2 linked regions of the Bombyx mori genome follow. The protein of the gene in region 2 binds, or shares a complex with, the protein of the main gene of each other region. Links are inferred from orthologs where the notes say so. Each region holds a gene or a part of one and is shown on either strand. Other genes may lie near its edges.

What was found.
Region 1: eukaryotic translation initiation factor 3 subunit J (region 2) and eukaryotic translation initiation factor 3 subunit L share a complex: the UniProt entries of both Drosophila melanogaster proteins name them as parts of the eukaryotic translation initiation factor 3 (eIF-3) complex. The link is inferred for Bombyx mori from reciprocal best matches to the Drosophila melanogaster genes eIF3j and eIF3l.

The regions. Positions count from the first base shown.
Region 1 is NC_085117.1:14,771,352-14,775,684, forward strand, and holds the start of eukaryotic translation initiation factor 3 subunit L, read right to left. Parts: upstream 2,926-4,333; 5' UTR 2,738-2,925; coding exon 2,711-2,737; intron 2,541-2,710; coding exon 2,445-2,540; intron 1-2,444. UniProt on the Drosophila melanogaster protein: Component of the eukaryotic translation initiation factor 3 (eIF-3) complex, which is involved in protein synthesis of a specialized repertoire of mRNAs and, together with other initiation factors, stimulates binding of mRNA and methionyl-tRNAi to the 40S ribosome.
Region 2 is NC_085125.1:12,537,640-12,541,901, forward strand, and holds the start of eukaryotic translation initiation factor 3 subunit J, read left to right. Parts: upstream 1-1,283; 5' UTR 1,284-1,382; coding exon 1,383-1,398; intron 1,399-1,476; coding exon 1,477-1,562; intron 1,563-1,687; coding exon 1,688-1,801; intron 1,802-3,815; coding exon 3,816-3,957; intron 3,958-4,262. UniProt on the Drosophila melanogaster protein: Component of the eukaryotic translation initiation factor 3 (eIF-3) complex, which is involved in protein synthesis of a specialized repertoire of mRNAs and, together with other initiation factors, stimulates binding of mRNA and methionyl-tRNAi to the 40S ribosome.

The sequences.
Region 1 (4,333 bases), on a different chromosome or scaffold from region 2:
ATTTGTACCCTCAGTCACGTTCTGAATGTTACAGTCGCACGTCTACTTTTTTCATTTTGACTTGATTTCGGTGTTACTCGCGATCATTATGCCTGGCTCTCGGCGTCATATGGATGTGGAAACAGCAACAAGAGCAGTGTTTATGCTTCAGGAGGGAGAATCTCAGAGATCAGTGGCAAGACGTCGTGGTGTGTCGCGACGAGCTATTCGAAACGCGTGGGAACGCTTTCTAGAGACAGGTAGTGTCACGAGGAGATCTGGATCAGGAAGAGCCCGAGCTACAACCGTTCAGGAAGACCGGTATATCGGATTGACTGCACGTCGAGAGCGTACGATTTTCGCCCGCGTCTTACAAAATCGACTGCGGCAATCGACTGGTACACGAATTGGTGATCAAACCGTTCGAAATCAGCTCCATGAAGACGGACAACATTCCAGATCTCATGTTATTCGTCTAATATTGACAAGAGCGCATCGTGCAGCGCGTTTGAGGTTTGCTCGCGAGCACGCGGAGTGGACAACGGACAACTGGAGAAATGTACTCTTTACGGACGAAAGTAAAGTGAAGTTTTTCTGCGATGATCGTCGAGTGCGCGTGTGGAGAAGAGAAGGAGAACGTTTTTCAGAACCTTGCATACGTGAAAGGGATCGTTTTGGAGGTCCAAATGTTATGGTGTGGGCTGGAATAAGCTTGCTCGGTAAAGCTGAGCTGGTAATTCTGGAAGAAGGCCCCATAGCTGCCTCCCGGCATGTCGATCGAATAATTCGGCCCCATGTCATCCCATTTTCACCAAGAGTAGGTGAAAACTTCGTCTTTATGCAAGACAATGCTCGCTCACATAAAGCGCGAACAACCCAGAGAGCTTTCTCTGAGGCCAATATTACGGTTTTACCGTGGCCGGCCATGAGTTCCGATCTTAACTCCATTGAACATTTATGGGACCAACTGAAAAGAAGTCTCAAATCGAACTTCAGTAATGTGACTAATCGACAAGAGCTCATAAACGCCCTAAAATTGTGTTGGGGGCGAATACCCGAGGAAAACATCACCCACTTGATTGAAAGCGTCCCAGATAGGGTCAGAGAGTGCATACGGAACAGAGGAGGACCTACTCGCTATTAAGCACCATCAAACTCATTGATTAAGTCAATAATAAAAATCAAAATCAAACTTTACTTAAATCAAAAATTTCTGTCAACTTTTCTAAAAACTGTAAATTTTGACTAAATTCCATAAAATTGGCTAAACTTACTGTTGTTAATGTTTACACACTTTCAAAAAACTTAATTTATTCATTCCTAATCATAAAAACTGAAAAAAGAAAAATAATCTGTAAAATTCATTTAAAAAACATGGTGGGCCCTATTTTGTTTTGAGTAGTTTATTATGGAATAAAAGTGTTCGCTTCCCCATAATCATAATTAACCGGGTTTTCAAGTAATTAGACCAAAACGGACATAACCTATAAATAATGTTAGGCCCACAAACAAAACATATTAATCATAGTTTTCACACACCGACTTCTCCTCATTATCAGAGGCTCAAGCATCAACATGATTATAGAATTACAGAAGACTCAAGAGTTCATAAACAAAACATATAAACGTCCTGGCGTAATAAAACACTTTTAGGTTTAGGTACATAAAAACGTATGGCCACTTGCTGGGTTGCAGCCGCCGCGCCGGCTCGTCTATCGACAATATCATAAGCTTGACAGTTGGGTCTGCGTGAAACGGAACACAAAAAAATTATTATTTTCACTTAATGATAAAATCATAATTCAATGTGTTGTAAAATATAATATAAGAATATAATATACCCAGTTATTTAACTGTCCAAGACTTTGATATCATTTTTGTGATAATTGAGTCTAAAAACTCATGCATGAGTAATCTGTCTAAATAGAGAGAACGAAACGTCATCTCATGACTTTAATACGGAAATGATGCGAACAATTGTTCATTTACTATTAATCTTAAAATCATAATTCCAGTCCTGTACAAAACATTTCTGTAGTGAAAATGGTTGTAAAAAATGAGAAAACTATTTCGATGTTATTTTGATTCTGCAACATGCAACTTTGCTAGACGACTTTTGGTCATTCTCCTTTTACCTTATGAAATAACTAGATGGAAACTTGATACATAATTTGTTACTATTTCACAGATAGCTTATGAAATATTACCATCAAAATAAAACGTAGGTACAGTTCAAATTATGTAAAAATTTAGATATTTTGTGTATTATGACTGTTACATGACTAGGTTTCTGTTTTATAAAATGTCAGTAGTAATCATCAATGAATCTCTATATCGTTTAAAAACCATTCTATAATATGATGCATTCATAAACTATTCCATGTTTGCAAACCATAGCATCAAAATATGGTATTTTTATAACGTTATGTTATGATATAGTACTTAAATATGAGATGAGAACTTACCATGTCAGGCATTTTATAATAAGAAGACCTGTCATATTCCGGCTCGTAGTGTTCTGTGGACTGTGCTTCATAGTCGCCATAGGATTCGTAACCTCCCTGGAATAACACAAATATATATTTATAATATTGTGTATATACTTATTTACATATTTACCAGGATATGTGGTAATGTTGGTGAGCCATCAATATCAGCATTCCACAGACGTCCAATGTTGGCCATAGGTTGAATTTTTACTGTATATTTTAATATTGAAAAATATAGATACCTCATTATAATCGTCGCTGGAATACATGGTTGTTAATAGAATCTAACAGTATTCATACGTTAGAGTTTATGCGTCTGAACGAGTATTTAATTTGAGAATAACCTATTCAGCCATTCGCAATTTCGTATACGTTCTCCTATCCAATCATAGACATTTTTTTTTGGTACAGTTTTTCCTTATTAGGAAAGACAAGGAGATCTAAGGTCATACAGCCTCATCTGCTCTATATAATTTCTGAAATAAATTTTCAAAAAAGCCGAAGGCAGGTCTTGTGTGTTTTATATTATATCCTGAAATAAAAATTTCATTAAGGTCGAAGCCAAGTCCTTTATAATTTCTTCCTGAAATAAAAATTTCAATAAGGCCGAAGCCAACCATAGACAATACACATTATGTTCAATGTGCACAGCTTTTTTTTTTTTGAAGATTTATGGCATGTTAGCAAGATCTTTAAGCAAAGTGTTATTTCTTTTTTTACACTGTTTAATTATAGTGAATGATCTGAAGTTGGTTAATTTAAGTATTTAATTAATCGGTTGGGTTCTATGCTTGCGAACAATCATAGGAAGACCCAAGGACATGGAGGACAAGTTCAAAAAAATTTCAGCCATAAGCAGCAAATCACAACTTAAAAACCCAGTAAAAAAAGTGCGTACGCGTAGCCAGTGGTATGATATGAATTTCGCAGTTGCAAACGAAGTGAAGTGTGCTGACTTGAAAAATGTATCAATAGCTTTAACGCTATTTTCGAAGTTAAGCCACTTGCTATGATTGCACACAAATTAGTCGGTTTTAGACGGACACTTTTTCAAACACATAAAGAGCACTTTATCGTCCATATTATGAACAACATCGATAAAACTTAAGATTGTTTTTTTTTGTTTTCCTACCTAAGCTGATGGTCTTGAGATACCATATCAGGGTGAGCGCACGGGGCTCAAATTTGACGTTGTTGCTAACACGAACCCCAGTAAGAACCGTGCTTCGCAGAATCTATCACCGGATCGGAAACGCGATCCACTGAAAATATCCAGCGAGAAACTCAGTGGGCTGTGTCTTTAGGTTAATTTACTAGCCGAGCCATCCGTCATTCGACGAGAACGATGACTGGTGCTTGGGATACCTAAAAGCACCGTTAGTGGATTGGGAGGATCTGAAATGACGTGAAAATTAAGAACAATAGATTGTTTGTTTATTTGATTGAACGCGTTAATCTCAGGAACTACTGGTCCGATTTGAAAAAATATTTTAGTTTTATATAGCTCATTCATTCAGAAATACTATATAGAGGCTATATAACATCATGCTAAGACCACTACAAGCGGAGCACCAATAAAGAAAATTTGAAACATTTCAAAATGAGGGTATTTTTCTGTTTTGAAAGCTTCTGCTGCGTGCGCTGTGGAAACGGTTAAAGTTTCGCTAAAACAATGTATGACCAAATTGTTCTCCTATAAAGTTCTAAAAAACCTTTTCTACTACGACGGATCTATATTTTTATGTTTGCTCACTATAACGTTTTTTATACTAACCAAATTTTATGAAGATGATATTAATCCCTGTCCAAACAATTACGTTATTCATTACAATTAATTTTAAAGAAATTTCCCCTCATTTGATTTT
Region 2 (4,262 bases):
TTGTAGTTTTGGCGTTAAGCAGCGGTAGGCAGCGACTTGGCTCTGCCCCTGGCATTGTTGAAGCCCATGGGCGACGGTAACCACTCACCATCAGGTGGGCCGTATGCTCGTCTGCCTACAAGGGCAATAAAAAAAAAGCAGTAGGCAACAATCAAACTGGTATACATAATTTAATATATACTATCTAAACGGAAACATAATATGAATCAGGGCCCATGGGCAATACTTCTTGTGGCAGCACCGTTGAAAGACGACCGCCCCATTTAAACAAGCGCAGCGATCCTTCATAACCACTCTCGATGCTTTTAGGCATCACAAGCATCGGTCAACTTATTCGTTGAACCCGTTCAAGCGATGAAGGGCTCGGCGAGTAAATTAACTCACAGACACAGCGCACTGAGTTTCTCGCCGGAATTTCTCAGTGGGTTGCGATTCCGATCTGGTGTAGATTCAGCCAAGCAGTGTCCTGGTTAAGGCTAATGTTTGCAAATTATTCAGGCTGACCACCATGAGCTCGTTCTACACGTAGCCATAAGTAGGTCAAAAAAAAGGACGAGTACGACATCAAACACGCAACAACCAATACCTCAATTCCGTCCACCCCAGTGCTACACCGCTCAGCGTTGAGTGCATCTCAACATGCTCTAACACCATCACACACAAATGTATGTACTGTCTGGTGTTTTTAAATGCGTACAAAAATATTTCTGTCAATACAACACATCAGAGAAAACTATAATAGACTCAAATCTATTTTTTGTGATGTAGGGATAGCTGGCGGTCCCAAGGTCTTTCTAGTTTCAATAGCTAAAACGGCTAAATGAGTACGAAATAGTCTTGGGAGCTTCAAAATACACAACGAGAACACTCTTTTTAATTAGGAAAATACATTATTTTACTCTTAAATTAAAATACAAAACAATTTTTTTAAACTTGTAATATTTTTCTATTCGTTTCATTTCACCATTTATACTGATAGCTGACAAGATTTTTCATAAAATGATCCTGTATAGGCTAAGACCCTTTCGCCTGTTTCGTGAGATAAATAAAATATAACACTGTCGGCCATATTGAAAATTTTAGTAAATCGGGAATTATCGTCTGCAATGGATTCTTACTTTTCTAAATCAATTTGTGAACATACGTCTGTTGGGGCTTCGCCAATATTATGTCATTTGTTCATTGTTTTTCAATCCGACCGTGATAATTGCAGAAAATCGTCTTCAGTTTGACGAATTACACTCGAGTTTTGTTGTTGTCTAGAAAACGACGACTCTGGAGACATCTTGTGAGTGATAAGTCACTGTCGATAGTTGTCCGATTTTGGTGTTCAGGTGAAAAGTTTTCATATTAATTCAGCTGCTGATTCTGGAGTCCTAAAAATGGACGTGTCATGGGGTACGTACTGTTTAATACAATAACAAAATAGATTTTATAAATATCTACATTCGTAATGTCAATCGTGGTACATTCCAGACGCAGATAACTTCGAGCCCAAACTCCCGACCACGTTGGCAGCTTCCAACAAATGGGAAGGGGAAGACGAGGATGATAACGTAAAGGTAATCATTGGTGTGCCAAGTAGTTTGTATACAGTGTTCTAACTTCTAAATGTATTACGAATCTTCTCAAAACAGTACATAACCTAAATGACTGCCTACGTGTTGACGTCAGACTTTATTCGCAGGAAAGCTGGGAGGATGAGGAGGAGGAAAAGAAAGACGAAGAAAAGACTGAGGCAGCGCCACCTCCACAACCGAAACCTAAAAAGAAAATACACGATAAAATAGCCGAAAGAGAGGTATAGTGCTTTTAAAACATATGTTTAATGATTTAGAGATTTTATAGTCTAAACTCTACTAGAATAGCTTCTAGTTTATAGAATAGATAATTATAATTATATGGTAACATAAATTACTACCCATTTAGTGGTATTTTAACACATGAACTTAATAGTTTTGTTACACATAAACTTGGTAATGTTGAGCATTGTTGAAGCCAATTGCATCCTCTATTAACCAAAAGTTGTCTAAAAATAATTTTAAAACATTTAATTGCATTGTATACATACCAAAAATAGAAATAAGATTTGAAGGAAAAATAATATATGTAGTCTATTGTAAAATTTAAGACTTAATATATAGACACTGATATTTATTGCCTGCTTCGCCATGATCATCCATCTAGTGGAATAGATAAAATATGCACTCCATTTGAAATCAGTTTAAATGTTCTTTTTTTTATAATACCAATCACTGGCAAATTATCTTAATTATCATCTTCTTCTTTGTTCTTTCTCTCTCTGCTGGGGTGTAGGGCTCGAATCATATTCTTTCGTTTGCAGTCAATGGTATTTTTTTAATTAATAGTGAAGAAAAAACTGATAAATAAAAAAAACTAAATCTGTTGACAAACAGAAGAGAAAATTTTATTTAGCTTTTTATTGTACCCATCTATGTATAAATTAGATTCACATAATCATTAGATACCTATCGAGTTTAACATTAGCCAGTGTTTGTCTAAAATTTGTTTTGCAAAAGTCATTGACGCTTATTTATATAAAATTCGTGGAGATAACTTATTATATTATGAAATTACAGTAACTGTATGTACTGCTCTGATGCAAATTTCAACTATAAATATTTACACAAAAAATAATTAAAAAGGACAAGTTAAATACAAATAATTTATAATAAATATCAAGGTTCCAGTATGCATAAAGAAGGTTAACAAGATAGATTACTCATGGATTATCATCACCTTGCAATTAATATTAAATTCATTTGACAGCATAAAATATCAGAATAATAATTAAAATATATTAAGAACCCATTAATTATTAATATTTAAAAAACAACAGAAAAGAAATCTGGTGCTAGTGAGGGTGTTCCTGTTAGGTAACATAAAAAGTGGAATTTAAAAATAACATTTTGCTAGCAATTGTTCACTCAGTAATGATAGCTGACGATCCCACTCAGTCATCATATATCATCTTCCTTGACATATTGTGTGTCAACATCTGGTTATGACTGATTATGTGCTCAAATATGGTTAGGGAAGCCACATTTTGTCTTGAAGGGTCTGTTGCAGGGTGCACAATACAACAGCCCATCAGCATTCTACATAAAGTATAGGAGGAAGGCCAAATTTTGTATACACTTTTTTTTTTCAAATCTTGAGACAGCTTTGTGAGCATATCTGTATCATTCTGGACTCCGTTGTGTGCGATATTAGACACAGTTGGATGACATTCTAAAACATCCCCTGTAACATTAGCATTGCCCTCCAGGTGCTCACTGTTCATAATTCAGCTGTTAGTAAAAGACAAATCTAGGAAACTTAGAGTCATCCACACTTGTTGGAAGTGCTTCAATACTATTTACCTTCATCCTCAATATCTCAGTTTGAGACTTGATCTTGCCGCTTTATGCAAAGTATGGATGTTACACACTTTATGTTGATGGTGTTGCTTGATATCACCTCTGTAGTCCTGGTGGCATAAAGCGTATTGCTTTATTACCTTATATACAGCGATCATTGTGTGCAGACAAAGGTCATGTGAGGCCCTGACTCTTTTGCACAGCATTCAACACCCTTTGCAATTCATGAGGAATTTGTATTAAAATTTTGTATAGGGTATGACAATATTAAGTTAAAGGTTAACTTACATCATGTTTGGGATAATAACCAAATCTAAAATACGATAATTCACCAGAAAAATGAACATAGTTTCATAACTTCATAGAATTGACAGGCTATAGTTGCTCTTGAATTGATATAATATCCATAATATTTAAATTATAAAATTTTACTAGCGACAAGAACGTGAGAAGGCTGAACGTCTCGTGACAGAGAAGACTGCAGAAGAAATGACTCCAGAGCAGAAGTTGGCTGAGAAACTTCGCCAGCAGAAGCTACAGGAAGAATCAGATTTGCGACTAGCCATGGAAACCTTTGGTATGCTTGATTGATTTGGTGTGCTCGTATTACAGTTTGTGGATTCCAAAATAAGATTCATTTTAAGCAATAATTAGTAGACATTCTAAAAGAGGGTTTATAATCCCTAATATAATGAAGTTGTTGTGGCCTAATGGATAAGATGTCCGGTGCATTCGTGTTGAGCGATGTACCGATGTTCGAATCTCAGGCGGGTACCAATTTTTCTAATGAAATACGTACTCAGCAAATGTTCACGACTGATTTCCACAGTGAAGGAATAACATTGTGTAATAAAAATGAAACCCGCAAAATTATAATTTGCG